Caenorhabditis elegans: one gene and its partners. The protein of the gene in region 3 interacts with the protein of the main gene of each other region in a pairwise test. Each region holds a gene or a part of one and is shown on either strand. Other genes may lie near its edges.

The links.
Region 1: the proteins of skr-3 (region 3) and cul-1 interact in a two-hybrid assay, tested with the Caenorhabditis elegans proteins (2 studies listed by BioGRID).
Region 2: the proteins of skr-3 (region 3) and fbxa-167 interact in a two-hybrid assay, tested with the Caenorhabditis elegans proteins (one study listed by BioGRID).
Region 4: the proteins of skr-3 (region 3) and T07E3.4 interact in a two-hybrid assay, tested with the Caenorhabditis elegans proteins (one study listed by BioGRID).

What each region holds. Positions count from the first base shown.
Region 1 is NC_003281.10:10,467,949-10,476,962, forward strand, and holds cul-1 (Cullin-1), read left to right. Parts: upstream 1-3,288; 5' UTR 3,289-3,289; coding exon 3,290-3,417; intron 3,418-3,471; coding exon 3,472-4,702; intron 4,703-5,224; coding exon 5,225-5,686; intron 5,687-5,845; coding exon 5,846-6,172; intron 6,173-6,227; coding exon 6,228-6,290; intron 6,291-6,804; coding exon 6,805-6,936; 3' UTR 6,937-7,181; downstream 7,182-9,014. Other genes in the region: D2045.5 (non-specific serine/threonine protein kinase), read right to left, coding at 159-730, 1,018-1,468, 1,523-1,555; D2045.9 (Glycosyltransferase 25 family member), read left to right, coding at 8,040-8,299, 8,972-9,014. UniProt on the Caenorhabditis elegans protein: Probable core component of multiple cullin-RING-based SCF (SKP1-CUL1-F-box) E3 ubiquitin-protein ligase complexes which mediate the ubiquitination and subsequent proteasomal degradation of target proteins.
Region 2 is NC_003280.10:13,638,239-13,645,653, reverse strand, and holds fbxa-167 (F-box domain-containing protein), read right to left. Parts: upstream 4,166-7,415; 5' UTR 4,093-4,165; coding exon 3,896-4,092; intron 3,846-3,895; coding exon 3,762-3,845; intron 2,836-3,761; coding exon 2,178-2,835; intron 2,125-2,177; coding exon 1,930-2,124; 3' UTR 1,831-1,929; downstream 1-1,830. Other genes in the region: phdh-1 (D-3-phosphoglycerate dehydrogenase), read left to right, coding at 7,175-7,415.
Region 3 is NC_003283.11:16,118,207-16,124,081, reverse strand, and holds skr-3 (Skp1-related protein), read right to left. Parts: upstream 2,259-5,875; 5' UTR 2,230-2,258; coding exon 2,167-2,229; intron 2,113-2,166; coding exon 1,846-2,112; intron 1,783-1,845; coding exon 1,609-1,782; 3' UTR 1,434-1,608; downstream 1-1,433. Other genes in the region: Nuclear hormone receptor family member nhr-111, read left to right, coding at 1-84, 281-420, 476-565, 607-778, 828-1,027; str-103 (Serpentine receptor class r-10), read left to right, coding at 5,381-5,578, 5,640-5,727.
Region 4 is NC_003281.10:6,894,640-6,902,364, forward strand, and holds T07E3.4 (F-box domain-containing protein), read left to right. Parts: upstream 1-3,376; 5' UTR 3,377-3,400; coding exon 3,401-3,477; exon of another isoform or gene 3,478-3,526; coding exon 3,527-3,704; intron 3,705-4,246; coding exon 4,247-4,384; intron 4,385-4,434; coding exon 4,435-4,608; intron 4,609-4,660; coding exon 4,661-5,150; intron 5,151-5,538; coding exon 5,539-5,765; 3' UTR 5,766-5,966; downstream 5,967-7,725. Other genes in the region: K04C2.2 (DNA polymerase V), read left to right, coding at 8-184, 231-296; DNA repair protein brc-2, read right to left, coding at 6,140-6,181, 6,555-6,672, 6,738-6,865, 7,105-7,201, 7,248-7,332, 7,376-7,498, 7,550-7,723.

The DNA of each region.
Region 1 (9,014 bases), on a different chromosome or scaffold from region 3:
CCTTAACATTATTATCTTCAACCATCTCGCGCACACTACTCATATTCTAGTGAATGCCCCTTTCCCCCGTCCCCCAGATGTAATAAACATCAATTATTGCTCATTGTATTTTTTTTCACAAATTCATAGTTTCAGGGGTCAATCAGTTCAGAAATAGTTCAAAGATTGAGGATCTTCTTCTTAAAATGAGCAGAATCCGCATACGGCCAGATCTTCTTCGCCATTTGCATCTTCGTCGCCACCTTATAATCGTTAGGAGCTCTCTTCTCACTGATCGACAGAGCCGTGAACATCTCCTCACCACCGCCCTTCCCAAGCTCCCACTCGAATCGGCCAAAGAACGATCCACGGACTCTCTTGAAACCGGCAAAGCACTCGCTCCACAGGCCGAAATAATCCGGGCGGCTCTTGTATTCCAGTGTCTCCAGGTACTTGTGAATATTCGCAAATTCCTTGGGACACCCTTTCAACAAAGTTTCCATGGAGCATGCAATCTTCGCGTCCATAATCTCCTTCTCATCGGTCAGTCGGCGCCACGGGAGCCCACAATGAAGCTCGATGAGCATGTAGAGCCACGACCAGAGATCATCGACGCGTCCCTGCTCTTTCCGATTGTGAACGTTCATGCTGCAATAGCGAGGAGTTCCACGGAATAGTTGCTCGCCGGATCGAGCTCTGCGGAGTGCGGTCTCTCCGTTCTCTCGTTTGGCGGTGAATTGACGGACCATTCCTGAACGAAGTTTGGTGTGATTTTTGAATCAAAAATACGGTGCCGGGTCTCGACACGACAAACATGTGTGTTGAATGCGACGTGCACCTTTAAAGATTACTGTACATTTCAGTTTTTCATGATTCAGAGGATGGATCTGGAAAGTGTTTTTTTTTCGAGAAAAAACGCAACATAAGGAAAACAGTTAAAAAAAATTACAGTACTCATTTAAAGGCGCACACCTTCTCGCATCAAACAAAATATTGTCGTGTCGAGTAACGGGATCGTCAAAATTCGTAAAAATTTACCATAATCAATAAGATAGACGTTTTTGGCGTCACTCCCATGAACCCCGGTCACACAATTTCCCGGCTTAATATCCCGATGAGTGAATCCCACTTCATGAATCTGTTTGATAGCAAACAACGTTGCCATCGCGAGACGAAGAGTCGTCTGCTCACAGAATCTCGGAGTATTAGCATCCCGTTTATGAGCCATCAGATCCTTGCCAAGAAGAGTCATCACCATGAAACAATACGATTTTCGATCGCCAGCATCCATCAATCTTGCACAAAACGGCAGTGGAGCCAGTGATTTGAGCACGTGAGCCTCCAGCTTCAGAACCCCGCCGTCACTCACGTCTCCCTCGACTTTCATTGCGGCGTATGTCTGAAAGCGGGTCAGATCTCGTACTTTGAACACCGCACCCATACCGCCTTCGCCGAGTTTTTCAACGATTTTCCAACGCTTTGCGATTATCTGAAATTGAGGGAAATTGTGAATTTCCGGCTGAAAATGCTCAGAGAAACTCACTTTTCCTTCTGTGATCGCTTGAATTTCTTCCATACTGATTCTGACCACGAAATCGATTGAAACTGTGTAGCTAATAGAGAAATGTAGCTTTTCGAAATATTGAAATAAATTTAATTATTTATTCAATCCTTTTATGTATTGGTTTTTTGTTATTCACATTTTAAAATATTTTTTATTTTTCACGGCCGTTGTTCACCGATCATATGATTACGGTGAAAATTCTAAAACTATTTATTTCCTATTTTATACCAAATAGTTGCAACATATTCTGATAAATCATGTAAGTCTTGTAAGAATACAAAATGTTCTTAGATTTAATTAATGTTGTTTTTTCTTGTTATTCCAGGTACAGTATCTTTTTAAAGGCGCACGAACTAATAAGTTTACCGAGTCCCGCCAAGAACTGTTTCGAGTTTTACAGCGATTTTTGTTCATTTTTTTTCAGTTTTTGTCTATTTATTTGTGAAAGAATAATTTCTCCTCTTTTCCGCAATAGAAATATAAAAAATGATTACAGTTTTATGGGCTCCTGTTTAAAAAACCTAGTTCTACAGTACTTCGATTATTACTTCCACTAATTAAAATTTCCTTTGGGCATCGCCAGGATCGATGTACAGTTAAAAATCTGTTTTCCACCTGTTGTTTTATCGAATTCTTTTTTTACTTTTTTTTCTGCATAAAATGCATGTTTTCTCCAGTTTTTCTCGAATGAAAACGCGTTTTTCAACTTTAAACTATTAAAAATTCGCTTTCGTGTATTTTGCACATCGAAACACCTAAAAAACAAACTTTGCTATTGTTAAAACCTTAGAAAACTCCGCCCGTTCATTGCACAGCCGCTAATCATTCCCTCCTGTGACCTTTCTTTTCCAGATCATCCCGCCATCTCAGCTGTCTTTTGTGCACTAACAGAACCATTGTACTCACCAGAATTTCTTTAAGAATCGATGAAGACACAAGATGAGGCGTCTCTAGCTTGTGTCGCGCAGTCTCCGTCTCCAAGGGTGTTTAGCTCACTGAAATGGGCTCTGAAAAATCAACTGAAATTCGCTTTTTTTCTGTTCTTGGAAATTCCTGAGTCCCGGGGAAAATGAAATAGTCTAAAATTATTATTATTTAGGTGTCTTTCATCTGAAAATTTTCCAAAATTCACAGAGTTTTTGAAAATCTCCTGTTAAGAACAATTTAATTTATTTCCCCAGTATCACTTGAAAAGCTAGAATTATCGCTGGAACAATTTCCTTATGTATTTATTTAATTTCCCCTTTTCCCAGGCTAGCAAATTAGAAAATCTCCTATTTTCCCTCCAATTCCCAGTTAAATTTATCGATTTGCGGTGAGAATCGCGTCCGAGGGCAATCGATTTACTGTCTTCCCGCGATTTTCAGCGCGTCTTCTTAATTTCCAGTCGGAGGCTCACTATCGAGTCATTTCTAACGTCTGCTGGCTCACAAGTATCCCCATTCAGTGATGGCTCTGGATTTTCGTCTTTTTTTTCTATTCTTCCAGGATATCTATATTTCTCCCCCAATTTTGCTCCAGTTTTCCAATTTTTTTGAAAACATCTATTTTTCCGGGATCTCATAAATTTTCTCAATTTCAAGCCCATTATTTCCACCTTCGGTGACTTTTTCCCAACACATGATGATTTTGGATTGGAGCGCGTTTGCGTTTGGGCCCTTGTTTCCTCGTTCCTCTGTTTCTTGCGAAATTGACAAATCCCTTGATTTTAATCGACAATTATTTTTTAAAAATGTGTTTTTCAGTATGACAAATAGCGAACCGAGAAGAATGACGTGTGATTCCGAGGTGGTTTGGAAGAAATTACAAGATGGACTTGATGTAGCGTATCGCAGAGAAAATATGGCGCCAAAAGACTATATGACTCTTTACACGTAAGATTTCCCCCCGAAATTCCACAGAAACTCAATAAAATCTTTAATTTTCAGAAGCGTCTATGACTACTGCACATCGATAACATTGTCCACAAGCCGCCGAGACGGCGAAGACGGTCGAGCAGAATCTTCAACTCCAGCACGAACCGCTGGCGCGGATTTTGTCGGTCACGAGATGTACCAGCGTGTTGAGGAATATGTAAAAGCGTACGTAATCGCTGTTTGTGAAAAGGGCGCCGAGTTGTCGGGCGAGGATCTTCTGAAATACTACACAACTGAATGGGAGAACTTCCGAATCTCGTCGAAGGTGATGGATGGTATTTTTGCCTACCTCAATCGTCATTGGATCAGACGTGAGCTCGACGAGGGCCATGAGAACATTTACATGGTTTATACACTTGCGTTGGTCGTCTGGAAGCGTAACTTGTTCAATGATCTTAAGGATAAGGTGATTGATGCGATGCTCGAGCTGATTCGTTCCGAGAGAACCGGATCCATGATCAACAGCCGATACATTTCTGGAGTTGTCGAGTGTCTTGTGGAGTTGGGTGTTGACGATTCGGAGACCGATGCGAAGAAGGACGCGGAGACCAAGAAGCTGGCCGTTTACAAGGAATTCTTCGAAGTCAAGTTTTTGGAGGCGACCCGCGGATTTTATACCCAAGAGGCGGCAAATTTCCTGAGCAACGGAGGAAATGTGACAGATTACATGATTAAAGTGGAGACAAGACTTAATCAAGAGGATGATCGCTGTCAACTCTACCTGAATTCTTCCACAAAAACTCCACTTGCAACTTGCTGTGAATCTGTGCTCATCTCTAATCAGCTTGACTTCCTCCAGAGACACTTCGGTGGTCTTCTTGTCGATAAACGAGACGATGACCTTTCCAGAATGTTCAAGCTTTGCGATAGAGTGCCGAATGGACTCGACGAGCTCAGAAAATCCCTGGAGAATCACATCGCAAAGGAGGGTCACCAGGCGTTGGAAAGAGTTGCTATGGAGGCGGCAACCGACGCGAAACTCTACGTGAAGACGCTTCTGGAGGTTCATGAACGTTATCAAAGCCTTGTCAATCGATCATTCAAAAATGAGCCAGGATTCATGCAATCACTCGATAAGGCGGCGACTTCTTTTATCAATAATAATGCCGTCACTAAACGTGCCCCGCCACAGGCTCAGTTGACAAAGTCCGCGGAGCTTCTTGCCAGATATTGTGATCAACTGCTCAGAAAAAGCTCGAAGATGCCCGATGAGGCGGAGCTCGAGGAGTTGCAGACGAAGATTGTAGGTTTTTCTCGCTTTTTTTTTTCTCAAAATGGCGTAATTTCCAGCTAAAATTTGAAATTTAACCAACTTTTTGCATATTTTGGTTGTTTATTTCGTTGATTGAGGAACATTTTCGATCGATGAGTGCACACTGCGAAACTGATAAGTTGGCTAAATTTGAGATTTTCGCTGAAAAAAAAAAACAGATTCCTCTCCTTTTTTTCATATCGTTTTTCATACCGATTTTTTCATATCGATTCATATCGAGGCTTCTCAAAATTTCGAAAAATACGGCAATTTTCCCAACTTTTCAATTATTTACCTTTTTCTGACGTTTAAATGTGGCTATAAATCGACCTAAATCAACGAAAAACGCCAGTAATCAATTAAAAATCAATTTCCGACATACGGGAAAATTTGAGGTTTTATCTAAAATTGCCATATTAAAGGATTAAAAGATTTAAAATATTTCAAACCTCCATAGAAATGAAAACCCAATTTCTAAAAAGTTAGCTCAAAATTCTAAAATTTCTATTCCAGATGGTTGTGTTCAAGTACATTGACGATAAGGATGTATTCTCCAAATTCTACACGAAAATGTTCAGCAAACGACTTATCAGTGAACTCTCAGCAAGTGATGAAGCCGAGGCTAACTTTATCACGAAGCTCAAGAGTATGTGCGGGTACGAGTATACCGCCCGTCTCTCGAAAATGGTCAACGATACTCAAGTCAGCAAGGATTTAACCGCGGATTTCAAGGAAAAGAAAGCGGATATGCTCGGCCAGAAATCCGTTGAATTCAATGTTCTCGTGCTCAGTTCGGGCTCATGGCCGACTTTCCCAACGACACCAATAACTCTTCCACAGCAGCTGTCGAAGACTATTGAGATCTTTGGACAATTCTACAATGAGAAGTTCAATGGACGTCGGCTCACGTGGGTTTACTCGCAGAGTCGTGGAGAGATCACTTCTACAGCTTTTCCCAAGAAATATGTGTTTACTGTAAGTTTAAACGTGGAATTTCTATCTAAAAATATTTTTTAAAAATCCGGAAGAAAATGCCTGAAAAAAGTCCAAAATTTTACTATCTGCCACCCAGCTAAAATTTGAATTTTCACTTGGATTTTATCGAATAACAGCTAAAAACCTAAAATTTTCCAGGCCACAACTGCTCAAATGTGCACAATGCTTTTGTTCAACGAACAGGACTCGTACACTGTCGAACAAATCGCCGCTGCCACAAAAATGGACGAAAAGTCAGCACCAGCCATTGTCGGCTCTCTCATCAAAAATCTTGTGCTCAAAGCGGACACAGAACTCCAAAAAGAGGATGAAGTACCGATGACGGCGACCGTAAGCCTCAACAAAGCCTACATGAACAAGAAAGTTCGTGTCGATTTGTCAAAATTCACGATGAAGCAGGACGCCGTGCGTGATACGGAAAATGTGCAGAAAAATGTTGAGGAGGATCGGAAGAGCGTGATTAGTGTAAGTTTTTGATGAGAAATCGGCGGTTTTGGAGAGAAAAATTCAATAATTTCAGGCTTGCATCGTAAGAATCATGAAAACTCGCAAACGTGTACAGCATCAGCAGCTTATGACAGAGGTTCGTTTGGAAATTTCAAATTTTCGAAAAAAATCGATAAAATCTACGTGGAAATTTAATTTTAATGAACTTTCGAAAAAAATCTGATTATGGAAAAACGAGTTTTTCATAATTTGTTGATAAAATCTACGTGGAAATTCAAATTTTCTATACATTTTCGTAAAAAAAACGCGTCGAAATTCGAATTTCTTATGAAATTTCGATAAAATTCTCTTGGAAATTCAATTTTCAAAAAAAAAGTTCACCTGAAATTGGTAGAAACTCTGTAAAAATTGAAAAAAAAATCTTCAAAATTTTCGAGCTTTCGTAGTGCATTTTCAACACAAAATTCTGAAGAAATAAATTAAAACCCCTAAAATAAAAGATGATATCCACGTGGAAAATCAAGTTTTCCATGAAATTTGAAAAAAAAAAATCACCGGAAAAATCGAATTTTCTTTGAAATTTTAAAAAACTCCACTTGGAAATTCAAAGAAAAAACATCTAAAACCCTCTAAATATGATATTTTTGCAGGTGATCACACAACTTTCCGGTCGATTCAAGCCAAAGGTTGAAATGATCAAGAGATGCATTGGATCACTCATCGAAAAGGAATATATGCTCCGTACAGAAGGACAAAAAGATCTCTATGAGTACCTCGCCTAATTCATTTCATTTTAAATATTCTATTTTCTCTTTTAAAAACTATTTTTCCCCTTTACTTTTTTCGCCCAGTTTTATTCTCCACCCTCTTCTTCCCTTCATATCCGTGTTTTTGAAAACTTCAACACCATCTGTATTCTATTACTTATTCTCCTCTCCAAGTCCCTCCTTATTCGATTGTTCTTCTTTACAGAAGCGGGTCCTGGCTTCATTTTGCGCTCTCTGGTAAATGGTCCTGGGTTTTGTAAATCGTTTGTGTGTAGAATATTCGAAAAACCGTATACTCGGTAAACCTTTTTGATTTTTTTTCGTCTTTTTTCGGAAAAATTAAAAAAAAATTCAACTTCCAAGTGAATTTTTCAGTTTTTTCAAGGCCAAATGCAAAAAGGTGAGTAGTCACTTGAACCACAGACAACAAAAAAATCGATGACGAATTATTACAACAAGACAATTTGGATGAGACACTACTGCTGCTCTGACCCCTCCGTCTGTTCACCAGATGCACTTTTTCCCACTGCTCTGAGTCTTCACACTAATGCTTTGCTCAGTCTTCTCTGTTTATAGACTACTATTTGAAGGCTAACTTTCCACGTTGCGTTGACCGGGAAATTTGAATTTTCAGTTGTTTTTTATTACACAGTCGCGAAATTTTCCGTACCCGGTCTCGACGTGACAAATTTTTGCTAAATGTGAAAAGGTGTGCGCCTTTAAAGAGTACTGTAATTTCAAATTTTCGTTTTTGTGTAATTTTCTTCGATTTTTTTAAAAAGTTTTACTTTAAACATTTGTTTATTTCAAAAATATAACAGTAAACGTACATAAATTTCAGCAAAAATTGTGAGAAAAACTTTGAAATATCGATTAAAATTTCGCTGAAACGAAAGTTTGATATTACAGTACTCTTTAAAGGCACACATCCTTTTGCGTTTAACGAAAATTGTCGTTTCAAGACCGGGATATCTTATTTTTTGGCGTAAAAATCGCAATTAGAAATTCCAATCTTCACTGTATAATGGAAACTTTAAAAAATTCTACTATTCTAATATTTTTTAGAACTTTTTTGAAAAAAATCGATAAAAAGTTTCCAGAATCCCTTCACAAAATATATGACCGAATTTCTACACTGCTTATTACTCTTCCACGTGTTTCTGAGCTCGTGGGCTCTATTTCCGGGAGCTGAGCCAGATGAGGGAGACGTTCGGCACATTTATCCGCCGGTGTATATAGGGGTTGGGCTCGGTGAGCACGCCCACGCAATTCCATACTTTTTGGGTTGGCTGGAGAATTTGGATTATCCAAAGGATAGGATTAAAGTGGAAATTTTCATTTTAAGCAAGGAAGATGCGACGATTCATCAGGTTAAATGGTTGGTTTAAAGGCGCATAACTTGCAAACCACAGGAACATGGATTAAGCTTAGTCTTAGGTTTAGGCGTAGGCGTAGGCTTAGGCTCAGGCTTTGGCTTAGGCTTAGGCTTATGCCCATGCGTAGGCTTAGGCGCAGGTTTAGGCTTGGCGTCAGTGGCGAGCGTTAGCTGACGCTATTTAGGCTTGGGTTTATAGCGTTTTTTCATTTTTCAAAGGGTTCCCGTTGGCCGATCAAAGCGAAATTTAACAGAGAGTCGTATAGGCCACCAAGAAGCTTAAGTCTGAAGTTTCAAATTGATTCCATCAATTAGGCTTAGGCTTGGGCTTGGGCTTTGGCTTAGGCTTAGGCTTATGCTTATTCGTAGGCTTAGGCTTAGGTATAGACATAGACTTAGGCTTAGCCTTAGGCTTAAGATTCGGCTTAGGCTTACGCTTAAGCTTAGGCTTAGTCTTAGGATTTTGCTTAGGGTTAGGCTTAGGCTAAGGTTTAGGCTTAGGCATAAGATCAGGCTTAGGCTCAGGCGTACGCTTAGGCTTAGGTTTACGCTTAGGCTCCTTAACTTCGTGCTCCTGCAACTTTTTGAAAAAACTGCTGAAAAAAAATGGCAACGAACAAATTGTAGCATGGAAAATATTTTGTCAGATAATTTTCCAAAAAACGTAGTTTTCAGGTGGCTAGACTCTACAAAACAATACTTCAAATCTGTCAAAATA
Region 2 (7,415 bases), on a different chromosome or scaffold from region 3:
AATAATCAGAAACAAAAAAGTTAATTCGGTCACAATTCGAAAAAAAAATCAAACAAAATCGATAAGAAATGTTGAACCAGAAGATTAGGCACAGAGAGGGAAAGAAAATAGAAGATATGCTGAGAAGGGGGAGACACTGTCTTTCTGCCAAATGGATAGTAATCGCGCACCCATCGCTTATCTCCCAGGAGACATTTCTCCTGGGAGATATTGGCTGGAATTCAAATTTATTGGCTGGAATTCAATTTTGGCTGGAATTCGAATTTTCTGAGAAAACAATTTTGGGGTTTTTTTTACCTCCTGCCAACCCTCCTTGCGTATCTTTGCGCATCTAGTACCAGGTACCATGATGTTTATGTCTGTACCACTTCCCAGGAGTAATCTCTTCTGGGAAGTGATGGGAACAGCGATAGAGCTCATTTACAACTCTTTTCGTAAAAATACAGTCGATTGGGAAGAGGCGACCTCGTGATGAGGCTACAATAACGCACATTGGACCATTTACTCGTTTCTCTCTTTTTTTTCCTCTTTACTGTCACAGGTTGCAGAACCACTGTTTTCTTTCTCCCAATCAAAGTGGGGACAAAAATTTGACTTTAAAAAAAAATGTTTTGGATAGTTTCGAAAACGGTCAATTTGGCTTGTTGAAAATTTTAATATTTTCAGAGTGAGCAAATATCGATTTGAAAATGATCATATAACTTTAATAAGTAGTGCCTGAAGCAAAATTGAAGTTGAAAAAACTAATCAAGCATACATTTGGTGTTTTACTTTAAAACATAGACAATAAGTCGTAGGAACCATTTTAAAAATTTTTGTCGTGTAAACTCAAACTCCAAGAACAATTTGTCGTTGTTCTTGGAGTTTGAGTTACAAATTAGTAGGGAAAACTGAGTTCAGTTTAATATTTCCGCGCAAAGTGATTACTAGAGATACAGGCATTTTTTTTTGTTTTTTCCGCAGTATTGGATTTTGTTGTCAAACTTTATTTAAATTTTTTCAGCGACGGAATTGAACGCGTTGATTGTAGTGATGGATACGATATAGAAAGAAATGATGGCCTTCTTGCAACTGTGTTTTATCAAAACATGGGTACCGACTTTTTTGTGTGGCACGATAGATTTCCAACATATTCACACCGGAATTTACCGTCCACATGATAATGCAAACAAATTGAGAATATTTTTAGAGCTTGTTTATTACAGTCGCGGTAAAGCGATTGTTCCGTGAGCAAAGCAATTCTGTAAATTTTGTGTAATTTAAACCTACTTTATTTAACAACCAGCCACTTTTCAGCGAAGAAACCTTGTTTTACGTTAACTTTAACAACTCATACAACTCATTTAACAACAACGTGCGAATAAACGAAATATTAACATAAAAGCTCAACTAACAAGGGGCTCGTCAGAAAGGGCCAATTGGGCTTGCATATGAGACCTAGTCATTCGATAATTTTTAGCGGCGATACTCTAGAAGCAAGCTCACAGCGGACTTTCAAACATCCTAAAAATAGCACTATATCGAGACGAACTTCTCTTTTCTTCAATTTTTCAATTTTTTCAAAAACATTCAAATATGAATAGAATGCTTATAAATAATGTTATTATCACAATTTTGAATCTGAAACACTCTTCTTTTGCAATTACATTTATGGTTTTTTTTTAAATGATTTTTTGATCTAATTTCTGTAGTTGCCCATGTATTTTCATAAAAATTGTGGACACGGGGTTTTTGACATTTGGAATCGAATGGCATTAGCCATTTTTTCAAAAAAATTTCAGAATGTGGTAAAACGGAAAAATTAAGGGGGAAGTTGGGCGCACAGTATTATATTTCATTAATAAAACTTTATTTCTGAAAAGTATCTAAACTCAATTTATGGCAACAAGATATATAAATAAGCGTGGAATTATGACTGCTAGACTCCTTTTATAGCTTCCGTTTAACATAAATTTCCTTGGAACACATAGTTATTTCAAATGAGGAATTTTTAGTCTTGAAGTTGAATGTGTTGTTAGCAGCGTCTGTATATTTTGGGTTGAATACTTTTCCGATTTTTCGAGTATCTGTGTTAAGGACTCTGAACGTTCCTGATCTGAAGTCAGAGGTGCGGAGTTCGAGGGTCTGAAAATCAGAATAAAATTTAATTTAGGGTCAAACATTTTCCAGTATTTCACCTCCTTAACCTTAACCGCATCCTGAACTGAAAACGATTTCAGACGAACATCAATTGATTGAAAGTGCAGCAAATCTTTAATATCCATCTCAATGTCTTCATGACTCGATATATCAAGTGTCTTTGCTGTCTTCCATTGCTCCAGCTCAACGAGCTTCTCAATTCCAGACAACTCTTGTATACTGTACATTGATAGTTGTATCTCTTCAACATTTTTCAGGTTTTTGAGAACACTAGATGTTTCGTGGAAGTTTAGTCCTTCGAATTCAATGTTCAGAACATGGGGTTCGGAATTTTCAAGCACAGTTAATAATTCTTCCATACACTGGGTATCCTCTTTATTATGCTCCAAAAAGTCCAGTCTTAACTTTTCCAGCTTCAACTTCGGGCTCTTCAATACCCTAGACAGATAGTTCAATGCAACAGTCACATGAGAAACTCCTTCAATTTTCCAATCCTTTGAATCCTCGTATTGCGACATTTTAGTAATTACACAATCATCATCCACACGTTTACATATAATATCTGTATAGTCACTTTCATGATAGAAGCATACATGTACGTGGTTTGGAATAGAAGTCACTGAGATGTTGGTGACCTCGTTGACGTGATCCTCGGCGATGCTGCGGAAGCATGGCGAGACGTTGCGGAGGAGAAGTCTGGAATTTTGAATTTTTGGAAGTGTTATTTGAAATATTTAAAGTAGGGCTTTCAAGGCAGGCCCGGCTTCAGGGCCTCACGCCTGTCTGAAAATTTTCTACATTTTATGTGAATCTTCAAACTTCAAATTTTGTCATTTCTATTAATTTGTCCATTTTCCAATTATGAAATGAAGCATAAGGCGCGTTTTGAGGCGAGAGGCAGGCGTGGGTCACCTTAAGGTCAGGCCGGCAGGAGTTTTAACGCCTGCCTGCCTGACCTTATGGAAGACCTAATTTAAATTTTCAGATACTAGTATTGAAATTACTTTATAAGTTTCATAGTAAAACTTTTTATTTTTTTGTTAATTTTAAAGTTTTCATATATGCCGGAATTAAAAATTTCCGGCAAATCGACAAATTGTCGGAATTGAGAATTTCCGGCAAATCGGCAAGTTGGCGGAATTCAGAATTTCCGGCAAATCGGCAAGTTGCTGGAATTGAAAATTTCTGGCAAATCGGCAAGTTGCCGAAAATGAAAATTTCTGGCAAATCGGCAAGTTGCCGAAAATGAAAATTTCTGGCAAATCGGCAAGTTGCCGGAATTGAAAATTTCCGGCAAATCGGCAAGTTGGCGGAATTAAAAATTTCCGGCAAATCGACAAATTGCCGGAATTGAGAATTTCCGGCAAATCGGCAAGTTGCCGGAATTGAAAATTTCTGAAAAATCGGCAAGATGCCGGAATTGAAAATTTCTGGTAACAAATCGGCATACCGGAAATTTGCCGATTTGCCAAATTTGTCGACAAAAAAAAATTGCCGAACGGTAATTGCCGCCCACTTCTGATCATGCATATATTTTTTGCTTAATTTTAAGAATATTTTTTTAAAAATCCCCACGTCCAAAAAACATACATTTTCAAAGAAAAACATTTTTTAAAACTAACCTGTCCAGAAAATTCAAGTTTTCCACAATTTTGAACAATATTTCAATTGGCAACTCGGATAGCGATGCTGTTTTTGGTTCCCGGCTGAATTTCTTTCTAATAAATTACATTTTAGAACTTATCTTTACACTTACCTCATATCATAATCCAAATCCTCGTTTCCATGATAAAATCGATAAAACCAGCGCTCAAATTCTCGATATTCCATAAAATCATTTCCAAACGCATTGCAAAAATTCTTGAAAGACTCGAAAATTGGCCGCTTTTGGCGGACCTCGTAGAGAATGCAAGCTCGAATAGCAATTGGGTTGGTTTCCAGGATGGCAGGCATTTTACTGGACCTTTTTAACTTTAAAAACTCTAGAATTGGACGGAAAATCAATGAAAATGCGGGAAAATGGAAAGAGGGGAAGCAGTGGAGATGGAAAAGAGAAATAGACAAGAGAGATGAAAAATATGAGAGGGGAGAGACAGCAGCACAGAACAAGTGAGAAATTGGAAGTAGAATGATAAGAGTCGCATCGACCGGTAGAATACCGTATTCTTTTCATTAAATTGGGGACAAACTTTAAAAAAATTAAATGTTTGGTCGTTTTGCACCATAAGAGCAACAAAATGCTACCACCATTAAAAAAATTTTATAGTAGTTATGTTCATCTAGCAAAAAAGTGTCCTACCTAAAAAAAATAGCAGATTTTTTGTTCTTTTAGAAAAATGTATGGCCGTCTCTGTAGCTACGATATTCATTTCAAAAAACCCAAAAAAGTATTTTTTTCAAAATGCTACCATTTTTAATATTTTTGGAAATTCTTGCACATTGGTTATTATCATGTAGCAAAAAAGTGTCTTACCTAAAAAAATAGCAGATTTTTTCATCTTTTAGACAAATGTATGACCGTCTCTGTTTCTACGATATACATTTCAAAAGCCCCAAAAAAGTATTTTTTTTCAAAATGCTACCATTTTAAATATTTTTGGAAATTCTTGCACATTGGTTATAATCATATTGAGCAAAAAAGTGCCCTACCTAGAAAAATAGCATTATAGCAACAAAAAAAAGCTGAATTTCGTTATATAATTAAAAAAGAGCTCAAAATTTGAAACAAGTTTCTGTAAAAACATTCTGAAAAATGTTAATTTTGAGTGAAATATGAAGGCCCGGATTTAGTGAAATGTTTCAAAAATAATAATTTATCTGTACTGAAAACCAAAAATGAAAATTGTGTCCTTTTGGTAGAATTGAACTCATCTCATCAAAAATCACAACAGTAATAAGTCCCATACTAATTTTAAAGTTTGACATTCATTTTTGTGAAAATCTTGAAATTTTTAACTATGAGCTATTGAAATATTCCTTTTATTCCCGACAAAACCCTCCGTTTTGTTCCAATATTTGCCCATTATTTATTCATACACCCGTTTTGCACCCATTTTTGTGTATTCCGCTCGCGTCTTTTGTTTTTCTCTCTATCTCTCTCTCTCTCTCTAAATGTGTCACATTTTTGTGTGTTGCCCATCTTCTCCTTCTACGTTCGTTTTTTGTCTCTTGCCGCTCGCTGACCATAAACGCATTTTCTCTCTTCTTTTCGGTGTGTTTTCGGTGTAACTATGCTGAAAATATAATTTATTTTTGAAGTTTTAGCTTCTTAGGACTCAATATCTTTAAATTGGTTTAGAATGTTTTGTGATGACGTTGTCACAACCGAAAAATTTAATTAACAAGAATTATTGTTGTTGGAATTATTTTAACTTTCTAAAAATTCAGTTTTAATTGTTTTTGCCCATAAAACGCTGTTGAAAATTTTTTGCCAAATTAGAAAATTGCCAAAAATTGAAATTCTCCTCTAATTGCCCAACTCCCAAAATAAAACTTATCCCAAATTGGCAACTTGTCAAAATTTATACCTCATGCCAAATTGGCAGATGGCCAAAAATTAAAATTCTCGCCAAATTGGCGAATTGCCAAAAATTCAAATTCTTGCCTAATTGGCAAAGTGCAAAAAAAAGGAAATTCTTATCAACTTGGCACAATGCCAAAAATGGAAAGTCCGTCAATTTGGTAATATGGCAAAAATTCTAGATTCCACCAAATTGGCAGATTGCCAAAAAATGAAAATCCTAGCCAAATTGGCAATTTCAAATAATGAATAATTGCCAATTTGCCAGAAAAAAGAAATTCTTGCCAAAAATTACATTTCCGCCAATCCGGCAAAATGGCGAAAATTAAAATTCTTGACAAATTTGCAGATTGCAAAAAAAAGCTTACCTAATTGCCAAATTGGCACTATGCCAAAAAGGAAATTATTGCCAATTTGCCAAAAACTACATTTTTTGCCAATTTGGTAATATGATCAAAATATAAAACTCTTGCCAAATTGGCAAATTTTTTGGCAATTTGCCAATTTGGCGAGAATTTAAATTTTTTTTGCAATTTGCCAATTTGGCGAGAATTTCCTTTTTTGGCAAATTGGCAAGAATTTCCTTTTTTTTGGCAATTTGCCAATTTGGCGAGAATTTAAAATTTTTTTGCAATTTGCCAATTTGGCGAGAATTTCCTTTTTTGGCAAATTGGCAAGAATTTCCTTTTTTTTGGCAATTTGCCAATTTGGCGAGAATTTAACATTTTTTGCCAATTTGCCAATTTGGAAAAAATTTCCTTTTTTGGCAATTTGTCAGTTTGGCAAGAATTTTCATTTTGGTAAATTGGCAAGAATTTCCTTTTTTTGGCAATAATTTTCATTTTTCCCAATTTGGCATGAATTTTCTATATTTTTTTTGTAGTTTGCAAATTCGGCAAAAATTTCAATATTGACAATTTGCCAGTTTTACATGAACTTAAATTCCTGCCAAGTCGACAAAATGCCAAAAATACAACATTTTTTCCCGTTTTTCAAACTTTCCCCATCTAGATACTTTACTCCCATCTACCCCATTGTGTGTGTGTTCTCTGACGTCGACTGACCATAACTGATAACCGCCATTTTGACCTCAACGACGTTTCCTGTTCTTCGTTTTTTCCTCCTCCACCCCCGGCCAGTCAAAACTTGCTATCTAGCCTCCACCATCAGCAGCATCAGCCCATAAATATCGTGTTGTTCATGCAGTCTTTTTGTGGTGACTCTTCCTAATACCATAATCGATATATTTATATCGACGCTGTAAATCTTTGTTTTCACCTTATCTCGGCAAGATCGATGAATATAGTCATTGTCTACGTGACTTTTACAATCTATAATTGACCTGGAAAGGGGCGGGGTAGCGTCTGAGATTACGTCACTTTGCGTGACATTAGAGGGTATATAAGAACAATTATTTTGCGTTTTTTAAAGATTTTTCTTTTATTTTTTTTTAGTTTAAAACTGTATATTCTCTTTTCAAATTACTATTCCAAAACTATACTCCCAATTTCCAGAATGAGCGCCCCAATCAACAAAGTCCTCATCGCCGACGACATCGAGCAGGAGTGTGTCGACATTCTGAAGCAGAACGGAATCGAGGTGACCGTGAAGACGAAGCAGACGAAGGACGAGCTTCTCGTCACCTTGCCACAGCACGACGCCGTCATTGTTCGCAGCGCCACGAAGATCACCGCCGAGCTGTTGGCTGCATCAGCTGGGAAGCTGAAGCTTGTTGGAAGAGCCGGGACTGGAGTTG
Region 3 (5,875 bases):
ACTGTGTGATTGATAAAGCGAACCGGAACAGGTGCAAGTCCTGTCGAATTAAAAAGTGCTTCAAGAAGGGGATGAATAAGAATGGTAAGCTGCTTCTCTGAGTTTGGGCTTCAGATCATTAACTTTGTGTTTGCACCATATAGTGCGGTAGGTATTTTTCAGTGGCCGACATTTTTTTGAGTTTCGCGCCGCACCATATTAACAAAGGCCTGAGGCCGGCAGAAGCCTCCTGAAGCCGGCGAAGGCGACACAGTTTCGTCTCTAAATAATTATTTTCCAGCTGTGCAACCCGAGAGAACTTCCCATAGCTACACTGTAGAGTATGTCGAGTTGCCCTCATTCCGAGAGTATTCCAAGGGACTTCTGCCTACTCACTCTGATCGTCTCAGATTCCAACACGAACATGCTCAACATGAAATTGTTAGTTAATCAGGAGACAAACTATCAACCTGAGACACCACAAATTTAATTTCAGGACACAAGCTCCGTGCTAGTTCATCTGAAAAACGCACTCCAGTGGGTGCAACAGTTTTCGCTCTTCGCAGTGCTTTCCGATGTTGAAAAGGTCTAAATGCCAAACATAAAAGTCATTAAAAAAATTTCCAGAGCCAGATCATACTGACCCAGTGGCCACATCTTTTGTGCCTCGCGTTGTTCGAAAACTCCGAAAAAATCTTCATCGATGAAAAATTTGCACAACTGGCTGAGAAATTCAAATCCCTCGAACTTTCGGCGCAGGATTATTTCCTCTTGAAGGGAATTATTATTTTCACGGAAAGTAAGTTTAACTAGAAAAGCTGCTGAGCTTTCAGAAACTAAAATTTCAGCCAAAGATGGCACTGATCTCAAATTCGATCGCCAACTTGATATCTGTATCGGCCTTCTCAATCAGTTGCACCTGGAGTCTTCAAAGTCCAAATCTGGAAGGCTTCTATTTCTCCTCGGCGAGCTTAAATCCTATTCTACTAGACAGCTTGAATCTCTCCTGGATCTTAAAGCTTGTGAGATTGTGATTAGTTTTCTTTAAATTTTGACTATTTTTCTGATGCTGTTATATGCACACATTACCCCCATTTTGCTCACTAGTAGTGCTCAGCTTAAGCTTAGACTTAGGCTTACGGTTAAGCTTAGGCTAAGGCTTAGGCCTTGGCATAGGTCCTGGCTTAGAGATTTTCATTTAATTTGCAACTGTTTCCTCAAAAACAATGTTCAAACCCAAATTTCTTTCCTATTTTTTCTCCAGATTCCCCCAAGGCAACCAAATTTTTTAAACAATTTTCTTCTCGATCAGTTGAAATACTTCCAAAAACGTTACAACGATTTTGAACAGTTTTTTTACAAGTCAAAACAGTAGTTGGCTGCAAATTTGGCCGCCAAAGTTTTTTTTTTTTGCAAATGGTAAATTCATACACAATGAACAAACTACACAATATACAGACGTTATACATTTATTTAAATTATATTTTTTGTTGGAAGCAATGTAAAGCGTACTTGACAGACAAAGTTTTTTTTTGTTTAAAATAATTTTTGATTTTGTTTTAAGTGACATAAAAGAGGTATGTAAACCGAATCAGATAAAGTTCAAGTTAATTATGTTTACCAGGGAGCTTAATCCTCGCACCAAGCGTTTTCCTTCTTCATGGCCTCCCGTTCCTCCTCGGAAAAATCGTTCTCAATGTTGAAGAGGGTTCGGATTTGGCTTGGAGTTTTACCCTTCATCATGTTAGCCACATTCTGGGTGGTCACGTCCAAAAGCCCACGGATGTCGAGGTAGTTGGCGGCCTGAAAAAGAAATCGGTTTAATGTTCAATTCTGGAGAATAGCTTATAAAACTTTAATATTTACCAAGATAATTTCGAACAAGGTTCCCTGATCGACTTTCATGAATTCGGCGTCCCATTCACTAATGTCTACCGTCTTTTTGTTTTCGTCGACTTTCTTTGGCTCATCGTCGGCGTGATGCTCGCACCAGGTGATAATCTTCTCAAGGATAGTAGAAGTCACTTTCTGAAGTGGAATCGTGTCTTCAGAAGTGGATCCAGATTCTTCAATTCCAAGGTTTTGGATAATATCTGTGATGGTCTTGGATTGACTGATCACTTTTCGTGAGACCTATAAACTTACATTTTATTATTTAGTTAAAGGAAATTATAATTTAAAAAATACCGTGAAAGTTTTATCATCAGAAGAGGTGAGCTTGATTTGTTTCTGGCTGTCGGCGTCTGACATTTTTTAAATATTCGATTTCTTTGTGTAATCTGGAAAATTTGAAATACAGTCAAGAGTCGAAGAGTCAACTCAAGAAGAAAAAAAAATTCGAAAGTTACTTTCAGCAGAAAAGAGACGAAAATTGCTGAGTATTTTATGTGAAATATGAAAACCATCGGTTCCCTTATCTATATTTGAAGAAGGGAGAGAATGGGGTGTGTGTACACATTTCGAAACAAATTGCAGTGTCCAACGTCATGCGATATATTTTTTAGTAAAGTGTGTTCAAAAGATCAAAGATTTATTTTTTTTTAATTTTAAATTGAAAAAATTGAACGAAAATATTTTGGTACGCATTTTGATTATAAAACCTCTCAAGTTTTAACCAAGAAAATACTGAATTTGACAATTACCGTATTTCCTCTATTAGTATTGCACCTGACTATTTAACTTTGAAACGTTATATCTCGGTTCATTTTGAAGATATGAGTTTATCATTAATTACGAAATGATGGAAAAAAAACTAACAAATATTTTGTCAGTTGACAATGTTTAAATAGGACAAACAATGACTGAGATATAAGCTGACAAAGTTGAACTTTGGGGTGGAATACAATTAGAGGAAATACGGTGTGCTATTGGAAATTTAACTAAAAAAGAATGTACTCATTTTCAAATTGATAAGAACAGAAAAGTGAGCAAATGTCTGATACCTCGGTTGGTTTATAAGCTGGAAAACGTTGCCTTGCTACGTTTAAATGTCGAAATTTGTGTTGATAGGAACAGTGTACACAACTTGAGAATAAGAGGCTGAGGAATTTAAAGATGGGAGGAGAGATAGAGAGAAGTGAGAAAGTGTGACGAATTGTTGAGTAATGTATGTATGAAATTGTGAACGAAAAAAAGACAATTTTCAGTGGAATACATTGAATTAAATGTGGATCAGAGTCTAGTTACTTTATTTTTAAATTTAAGTTTAAAAAAAACTCAAAATTGCCAGAAAATACCAAATTTTATAATGAAAAAGTACCACGAATTTTTTATTCTGAAAAAAAATGAATTGCTATGAAAATGCTAAATATTTTTATTGGCAGACCGCAATTTGTTAAAAGGGGTCAGAAAATTGGCCGACTTAACTTTCCTGCTCGATATCGGTTAACAAACAGTCGTTTTTTTTTATATTTCGCAATTTGAGATGATTTTTGAAATTCAGTTAAAAATAATTTTTATTAGATTTTACTGAAAATAGTTATGTTTTTCTACGGACAAAACATATTTTAAGCGTAAAAACCGTGATAAAAACAATTAAAAAACGTTTTAGGCAATCTGATGCTGAATGAGTCGCACTCTCCCGTGTCAATAGAGCGCGGTTGCGAAGGTTTTTGTTTCCTCACGGTGGTACAACAACTAAATCAGTGCCAACGCGATCTACCGTACGAACACAAATTTCACCGGTTAGGAAATTTTCAACTCAAAAATTTCTTAATAGAAAAGATGGAGAATTGTCCTGTGGTCATTTTTCATATGCATCGCAAAATAAAATTTGCGGCTTGTTTTCGAGATAGCAGTCAATATAGGTTTTCGGACTGGGTATCTTAAGCCAAACCATCTAGTTTATGTACTACCGTGTCCTAGGAAGGATCCTGCCCAGGGGTGATAAACATGAATGCGGACGGTTTTTAATACAAATGGTGACACTGGAAAATGAACATTAAAAGTTAATGCCTTTGAAAAATTTCATTAAATTCAAATGCTTTTCGATGAAAAATAACTTTCAGTACTTTTAAAATGTTTTGTGAAATTTCTAGAGCAATTCCAGTTGTCATTATACAATTTCTTAATGGTGTTAATGGAAAAAGTGTCATGTAAAAAGGAAATATAAATTTCTCAACGTAAAAAATTTTGTGAACATTTTCTTACTCTAAATGAAAAGTTAGATAGAAACATCAATTTCAAAAACTCATACGCATGTTCTTCACGAACAAAATTAGTTTTATTGAGTAACTGTAGGTAGCAGAAAGAAATCGCCGTTTGGTGTGTTTTCTGCTTTATGGAAGAAAAATCGTACAAATAATACAATGGATAATTCGGTTGAGAAGAAAAAAAATTTCATAGCCGTAAGTTTTCTATAAGTCGTGCTCCATAATTTGGTGATTTTATAAACAATTTGAAAGTAATACAGTTTGTGAAAAATATTACAACAACTATGGTAAAACAAAAAGTGGGTAGAACATCAGTTAAATACGTGTTTTTATTTTCTTCCATAAAAATTATTGCTAGGTTTTAAAAAATTTAGACTTGTTTCTTCATCCTGAAAAGTTATTGTCCTGTGCATCAGGAAAGAATATACACGTTGAACTTCTTCGGAAGGATGGGACTTATGTGTTCTCTTTCCCTTTGACCGAGAATAATCTTGGTCGTTTATCTCACGTGATTCTGTCGAGTAAGGTGCATTTAAAGCCCATTGGTCACCAAGTTTTTTTTTTTTTTTTCATTTTGGCTACCATGGGGCTGACGTGACAATAATCGTATGATAACTAATAACAGAACACAACTGCCCTGTCTACGCCTATACAATTGTTTTTTGGAATAACCATCACATACGATTGTCAAATTTCCGGTACATCATGTTGTGTCTTGACAAGGAAGCTAATAAGACACGCCTACCACAGACACTACGATTCTGTTTTTGTATTAGTTAGTATTTTGCGTGATGTGGGGAGGACCACCTTATCTGCCTCATGCATATTTCTGCATAGAGCCTGGGTTTTTCCCGAATACGTTTTTTGGTTTTATCCTCGTCTACCTGCTAAATTACATTTCTAAATTCGTGTTGACTCGTCTCTAGATGTCCTTTGCTTTTTTGTCTCTTTTGCATTGAATTCTCATAATAAATTCATTTTTGAGATATAAAAACCCCGTTTTCTCCTATTTTTACTCGTATCTCGGATTGTATTCGCGTTCTTGTTGACTGGACTATCCAAAAATGTCTCGACTATCCAAAAATATTATACATTCCTGAAAATCACAATTTCCAGCATTCAGAAAAAGTATACAAACTGTATGTTAAAAATTGTTCTCTGTAATTTCTACGAAAGCCATCCAGTTACATCAACATTTTGACGAGATCGAAAAATTCAAAAATTCTTCATTTTTTTGCTAAAAAGCAGAAATGTGTTCTACTTCTTGGATCGAGTTGACATCGTATGCTGAAACAATTGGATTTTCTCTTTCAATATCTTTGAATTCAGTACTTTTATTGTTGATAAGCATGATGCCAAAGAAAACATTCGGTAGATATAAATACTTGATGTTTTCATTTTCAGTACTTGGGATAATTTATTCCTGTTGCGATTTTTGGAGTAAACCAGTGAGTACTTTGTTAACAGATATATTTAAAAAGTAAAATTGTGAAACTGAAGTATTTTCAGAACGTTTACATCTCAAAAAACGCCTTTGCCGTTTTCAATGTGCTAAAAGACACTGGTTTTACAAAATCTTTCGGGTCACTTGCAATAGGTGAGAAAGTCTTTTTCAAAATGTGAGCTTGTGAATATGGGCCTACAAAATTTTCAAACTTTCGCAAAACTTCAAAAATTTTGGCAAGACTTTGTTTTTACCGCGCCCAAGTTTCGAAAAATTCGCAAAGCGTTTCATTTCAAATCTT
Region 4 (7,725 bases), on a different chromosome or scaffold from region 3:
TTTTCAGCTCAAACCACGCCTATTCGGAACTGTCCTTCAACTCATTCTCAAGGTCACAGTTTGCATTCAAAACGACGAGAAACACGTGGATGCACTCCGCGAATCTCTCGAATATGTCATTCAGAAGATGTTTGAAGGTGAAGTTTTCATTCAACTGAAAAAGATCAACCCGACCTGCCATCACGTAAGTTTTCAAATTGAACAGGCAGAATTTAAGTGCAATATTTCAGATCATCGGAAAGTCTATCGCTGGTGCATTCACCTCTATCAAGAAGAGCTTGGATATTGAAAATTAATATTTTTAGACAAAAAAATGCTCCCTCCACATTGTTATCTCATTTGTTGTTGTTGTTTTTTAATTGTTTTAATCAATTCCCTCTGTTCCCCTTGAAATGTTCTTCCAATTGTTGAATTTTAATGTTTTTTATTCAATTGAAATTGTTTTTTTTGAAGATTTAGTTCTTCCCAAATGACACAGCGAAGAAAACCTAAATGTTTCGAGGACTTTTGAAAATCCGTTTTTTCCTCCGATCAGTTTCCTCAATGATCAGCACACTGCGTCGCCACGATCTACACAGTCTCTAACTTTTGTTCTTTCTGCAAAAGTTACACTGATAAGAAACTCGTTGATGAAAGATAGTCTGTGTCTCATGCTCTCTCTTCAATGAGACGATTTTCGAAAGACACTTTCTCTGCGTCTCTTCGTCTTATATGATTTCTAGAAGCTAAATGTCTATCAAAGTCGTATCAGTTGTTTTCGGTCACTTTTTGAAAGTTTTTGAGAGACAGATCAAACGACGCAGAAGTTCTCTCAAAAGTTGGTGAAATAACGTGGAAGAATGAGAGAGTGGGAAAAGAAACAGGAATCATTGAACATTTCCGAGAAGATTACGGTAGAAGCTTCCGAACAAAGTTTGAATAAAGATGAATCTTTTTGATTGTCTTTTTTTAGCCATTAAAAAATGAATTATCCAGATTTTCCGACAAAAAACTTTTAAAAAATTGTTTTTTTAATTTTCAAAAATCGAGAGAAAAAAGTAAAAATTCACTAGGAGAACATTTGAAATTTCTTGTGGATATGGTAGTTACAATGTTTTGATCGTGTCGAGACCCAAGTCTTTTCTTAAAAATTGTTTTTACAAAAATCAACACTTCCAAATATATACATTTTTTGTCAAAATGTCCTTCACTTCCTTTTATAGTCAACATTCAGTTGCTGTCAACAACCACCTGAAAAAGTGCACCTAATAGTAAATGTGTACATTGAAGTCAAATATTTTGAAAACAATTTTTTTTTAAATCAGATTGATAAGAATCCGGAAAAGAACAGTTGTTACTATTTTAATCGACACTAAACTCCGCCCACAAACTACCGTATAACTCGTTGATCTTTTGAAAAAAAAATTCCATTGAGTGATGTTTGCTGTTATGGAGAATACCACAGTTCTGGTGAATTTCACAAGGAACGATTTAAAGGTGACTATTACATTTTTGAAGAACACGACGTGGGAAAACTGAACTTTGCTCATTGATAGAAAATGGAATTCGATCAGGTCGGTGTTTGCTTTGCGACCCCAGCTACCTTTTTCCATTAAACTCAAATTTGAATATATTCCGTACAAGCACTCTAATTGACCTACTCGTACCCCCGTTTGATGACGTAGACAGATCAAAATACGCACTGAATTTAGCGTCATTTGGTGCCGCGCGGACACCGCACGGAACATGAGACATAGAGATAAGAGACGGACTCTAATGATTTCTGATTGTTTCTAGTAAAATCTGATCATTGATGAGTACTTTTGATGAGTGAATGGCCTTTTAAGATTTCAGATTGATATATTGAAAGATATCTGAAAAATTAAGGTGTGGCTGAAAAAGTGCTAGAAATTGTTCTAGAAGCATGCTTTCTTCACATTTATTCCCGTCCGGCTCATCTCAAATATTTCATAACGGGTTTAAATCGTAATGGCAAATTATAAGAATCAAAGCGGGCGAACTGAAGGCGCAAAAAAAAAAACAAAAAAAAAAACAAAGTCAATCGTCACCAATTTATTATGGCCGGTGTTCTGTTTCATTTTAGAGAAAAAAAATAAAACAACACGATTGAACAATCAACAAACAAACAGATGATCAGTAGAACATCAGTTTAATATTACACGTACCAGCACCCTTGAAATCAGAAAAACAATACGCCATCATTGTTCACATAATTTCAGAACAGAAAGCTACACAAATCACAAAATATTTAAAAATTGAACAGTGGTTCGCACTCAAAATTGACTAGTGATCGGGAAGATGTAAATAAAACAAAGACAGAGTACAAAGTTTCAGAGAATTTTCAAAGATGACAAAACATTCAATGTTCTCGTGATTTTATTCTTAATTTCCAATTGTTTATTTCTAGATATTTCTTTTTTACAGAGCTTGAATCGAAGTCACCAAATATTGCTAAAAATTTTGGATGTAGAACTTTTGAAACTATCATTCTGAACGTCTTGGTAAATTGACAAAATTCAAAACTGCGATTAACTTGATGCATTGTTCCGTAATTTAGCACCCACAATAATCCAATATTACAATTTTTAACTCATAGAATTTTTTTTTGACAAGTTCCAAATACGCACATAAGCTATAAAATCTCTTTAATTTCTTTTTCATACGATATTTTCATTTTAGAAATTGTGCTATTCCACCTCCAATTCATAATTTTTACGAGGTCATTGTATCCTTTAACACTTTTAAAGAGTAAAAAACGTTCAGCAAACTCATGAAAACAGAAATTCTCTAAATTTCCCAAAAAGTCAATTTTTCGAACATTTGGCAATTTGCCAAAACTTTGTCTGAAAGATTTCAAAAAATCTAGGATATTTCAGAATATAATAATTTGAATAATTTTTAGTATATTTTGACAAAATTCCTACTAGCGCTACTCCAAATACTGTATTTCTTTCGAAATTTAAGACTATTTCCAAAGAATAGTTTGCAGTAAAGAACACAATTTACTTCTATAAATAGAATTATCTAACCGTAGACTAGTTCCTTTCTTTTCAGTTAATCATTCCATCTTCAAAAGTCATTTTCCTCGTTCTCCGTTTCGTTGTAGTCCCCAGTCTCTATGTCACAGATCTGTCCATGTGAATTGCACATGAAGTGGGTGGAGTCAGATGTCTCATTTTCTCTGCGTCTCAACCGCTCCGCCTTCAACATTTTCCTCCATCATTTCGTCTTCATTCTCTTTTCTCTCCACTGATCATTAGCACTTTTCCTCTTCTCTCTCTCTTTCTTCTGATTGAAATTTCAACTGTTGAAATTTTGATTTTTTTTTCTTCGTTTTGAAACCTGTTTTTAAGATCTAAATTTTGTGTTTTTCCAGCAAAATTCTTGCGCCGTTAACACAATGGAGTTGCAAAGAAAGCGCAGTTTTAACACATCTACAGTATCCCATGACTTTAGAAAAGAGTTCAAGGGCTCCTTGTAGGTTAAGCTTCAATTGCCTAACTAACTTGAATATTCAATTTTTCAGTTTGGAAACCAAATACCGTAAAGTGAAGAAAGACGGAAAGAAGAACGGACTCAAGTCGATTGCTGAATGGCTATTCACAAAGACATCTGCCAAGAAAAATGGAGCACCAGTGACGTCATCAGCTGAGAAAGTTTGTGCGAATATGGTGACAGTTAAAGAGAAGCCAACGTATTTTGATGTGAGTTTTTCGGGTAAAAAACAATTTTATCAGAAAAAAATAGTATTTAGTCAAGAAAGTATATGAACGTTCGTATTTTCGACAGTTGATATATTTGCATAAATAGGAATTTCAAAATTTTTGAGCCGTAGGTTCAAAGGGACGTACCATATCAAAATTTAAGTTAAGTTAAATAAATGAAACTGCAAAAATATGTTTTGTTCTATGCCACCATCAACATGAATTATAACCAGTATGTTCAATGAACAGACTCAAACGTTTTTTCGTTTCCTGTTCAGGAAATTTTGATCAAAAACAAGACACCGGGCATCCCCCGGGAACAGCTGTCCCTCTGGAAGTCTTATGATTTCTCTCCACAGATATGTGTTAAACCAAACTTCACGTGAAGTACATGAAGAAACCTAGTGACGTAAAACATAGTAGATGTTAGACAAAACGTACTTTTTTAAATGATAAGGTGATTGGGATCAATCACATGATTTCTTTTTGTAGTTCTCAAATTTAGTGGTCTCTGTTTTTAGTTTTTATAGTCTTATTTTCAGCGCATCCCAAATGAAATTCTATTTGAAATTTTGGAAAACTGCAAATCCACGGAGCCATCCACTGTTCTCGCTGCGCGAAGATTATCCCGACGATTTAATGCATGTATGGATCATATTGCTGATGTTAAAATTAATGTGGTAAGTTACTTTTCTTTTAAATTTAATTCCTTCTAATTTTAAAATTTCAGCTCTCCCGCCTTGTGATTTCTGGACTCGGAAAGAAGGGGATTGAAATGCGATGGGTTAGCTATGAAGGTCAGAAGACAAAAACTACAGTAGTCCCATGGAGTACGGTTAGATCACCGAGAAGTTCGTTTGAGTTCAACTTTAGACGATTTGCAATTCAAAGAATTCTGTTAAAGGTAGGTTTACAAGGTTGAACTATAGAAAAATCAATGAAATATTTAATTTCAGAATGTTCCACTTTCGGATGATTTGATCGAATTTCTGCGTCGCCAATTTCAGTATGCAGATCTCACAAAACTGATTCAACTTTCCCTATCTCAAGTTGATTTCTCATTATCCAACTGCCTCTCCCTTCATCGATTCCTTGCCCCTGTCGCAAAAACACTTGAAATCTTCGAAATCACTCAATGTACTGGAATGCGAGCAGATTCGGTAACTGACGAGCATTTGGCTCAACTGGATGCTCCAACGGTTCGTAGAATTTGCATTGATGGAGTACGATTCGCGTCGAATGCCACACGTAATCTGGATATTGGAGACGGAGCATTGAGACATTTTGCAAGACTTGGAGCATTTCCAACAATGATTCTGGATCGATGTGCAGTTACAACTAATACAGTATGTGATTACACAAAAGAATGGTTCGAGCAGTGTAATGAATCGGAAAAGCAGTTGAGAAGTCAAGTATGCACAGTCAAGAGGTGTCCAAAAGTTAAAGGTGAGTAAAAACCACGAGCTTTAAAATTATTATTAACCTAAAAGTAAAATTGTTGAAACCAAACTACATTTTTTGAAAAGTCAGGTCGACTTTTGTCAGAACGTATTCCAGACGCGAAATTGTCCGATTTTTTGCCAAGAATACGGTACCAGGTCTCGGCACGGCAAATTTTTGGAATCTTCAAAAAGGTGCGCGCCTATAAAGACTACTGTATCGTCAAGCTTTCATTTCTGCGGAATCGTCACAACGATTTGAAATTACAGTACTCCTTTAAAGGCGCACACACCTGTCGCATTCAACCAAAATTGTCGTGTCGAGGCCGGTTACCGTATTTTGAAGCAAAAATCACAGCTTTAATACATAATCAATAAACTATAATATATTCCAGGATCTCAATTTGAATCCGAATGCCTTCGACGTGGACTTCGATGCAAAAATCGCCGTGGCTCGGGCTCATTGACATTGTATAATGTGCAGGAGGAAAATACAAAACGCGAATTTACAATTGCTCTGGCAGCTCTTGAAGACAAAGAATTGGCTGAAAAACTGAAAATCTCCGAACAAAATTGCAATAATAACAATCTTCTGACTGTTCCACCTTCCTTCCAACTTTAATCAATTCATAGAATTTATTTTCCAATTGATCCCCCCTTATCTCTCGATTTCCCAAACATTTTGGGTTTTAGAAATTGTCTTTATAAGACCACAACTTCAAAATGACGTGTGCCTACTTGTATTTGTACTTGTATATTTTCTTGTTTCGGGTTTCTATTTTTCTAAATTTTCGAATTTCTGATGAAGATTTCATCGTTTCATAATAATTCTTTAACATGGAAACAACAGAAGGGGAACATATAAAATTAGAACGGGGATATTCTTTGAGAATAAATTAAAGCATTTGAACCATCTACGTTAAAACGAATAAACACAACAAAAAAATGATAAAATAAATGAAACATGATTAAATGAATATTCACATGAATGGAATATTATGGATGCTTCTTTTTCGAACGGCGTTTCTTCTTGTCTTCCTGAAAAATTATGGAATTTTATTAAATTTTAGCTGATATAATTTTGAGACTTAATTAAAATTGTAAAATTAGCACACTTATCACTCTAACGTGACCGATAATCATAATGAAACACTACAAAATTCTTAGATTTCTCAAATTTCAAGTCAAAGTTTTTTTTTGTAAATTGCAACCTTTTCAAAAATGTGAAATTTTTGGGTGATTTAGGGATTTTTGGCGAATTTTTTTGATTTATCAGATTCGAGAAAAAAATTTAACGCAATTGAGATATAAGAAAATGAAGAAAATGTCTGAAATTCTGGCCGACTTCTAAAATTATGATATGTGAAACAAAAAATGTTCTCTGTAATTTTTCGGTATCAATAAATTATACTTTATGTTTCAAGTAAGAGCCAAAATCTTTCCAGTCGACTTCTGCCACGTCAGTGCATTCCCATTCATCATTCGATTTTTCGATTTCAACCATAACAGGGCGGAACACATAGTTTTGTCTGAAAAAATGCAACGGAATTTAAAAAATTATAAATTGAAAGTTAAAACGCCGCAAAAATCTCACCGTTCCTGGGGGTCTTTGAATCGGAACCAATTGTCAAATCCTTCATATCCTAACAAATCGAGTAATTTCTTCATATTTTTTGTAGTCACATTGATAAACATTTGACCGGAGAAGTCCATAACTCGCACCTGAAGTTTTTTTGTAACGATACTTCCCAAAAACTAAAATTCAAAAAATTATCTAAATTCAGCTAAAATCTCAAACTTTGTCAACTTGACAATGTCACAACTCGCAGAAGTGAGTTCCGACCGCCGCACCACTGACAAGTCGGAAAAATTTGAGATTTTAGCTGAAAATAGGCTATTTATCCAAAACATTAAAAATGTTCTATATTAGGAAATAGGCAATATAAATATAAAGAACATACTCTAGAATACATCGACAATTCAGATTTTCCTTGGGAATCCTTACAAAACTCGCATTGATTCGCTGCTTCTGGGAGAGAGTGTTTGCATTTCGAACATCTGAAACCAATATTATTATATTAATTATCAAGGAATCAGTATGTACCCTGCATAAAAATCCAAATTTAAATCGAGTAAGTTAACTTGGACAACTGTTTTTTTGATTTTCGTGTCTGACAATTCGTGGATAACTGAAATAATAATTTTTTTAGGTGAAAACTCGAAATGGCTCACATCTGGGTTTGATGCAAAACGGCTTCTTGGCAATTGAATGGCGTCGGATACCGGATTTCGCACCATTTTCCTTATTTTTCAGAACTCTATCAATATAGATTTCTGTAACATCGCCTGAGCTTGCTGAAAGTTTACGAAAAATTAAATCAATAGCTACAATCGATTGAGCATTACATTTTTTACAGACTTCCGCGTCGACATGAATTCTGTCGCCAAATTTAATATCAGAGCCACGATTGTAGCTACAAGTGGCCAGGATTAGAGGAGTTGAGCTGGATTCTTGAAGAATAATTCGGAATTTATCCTTTTCGTAGATTCGAGAAACACGCAAAACATCGGCGTGGATTTCT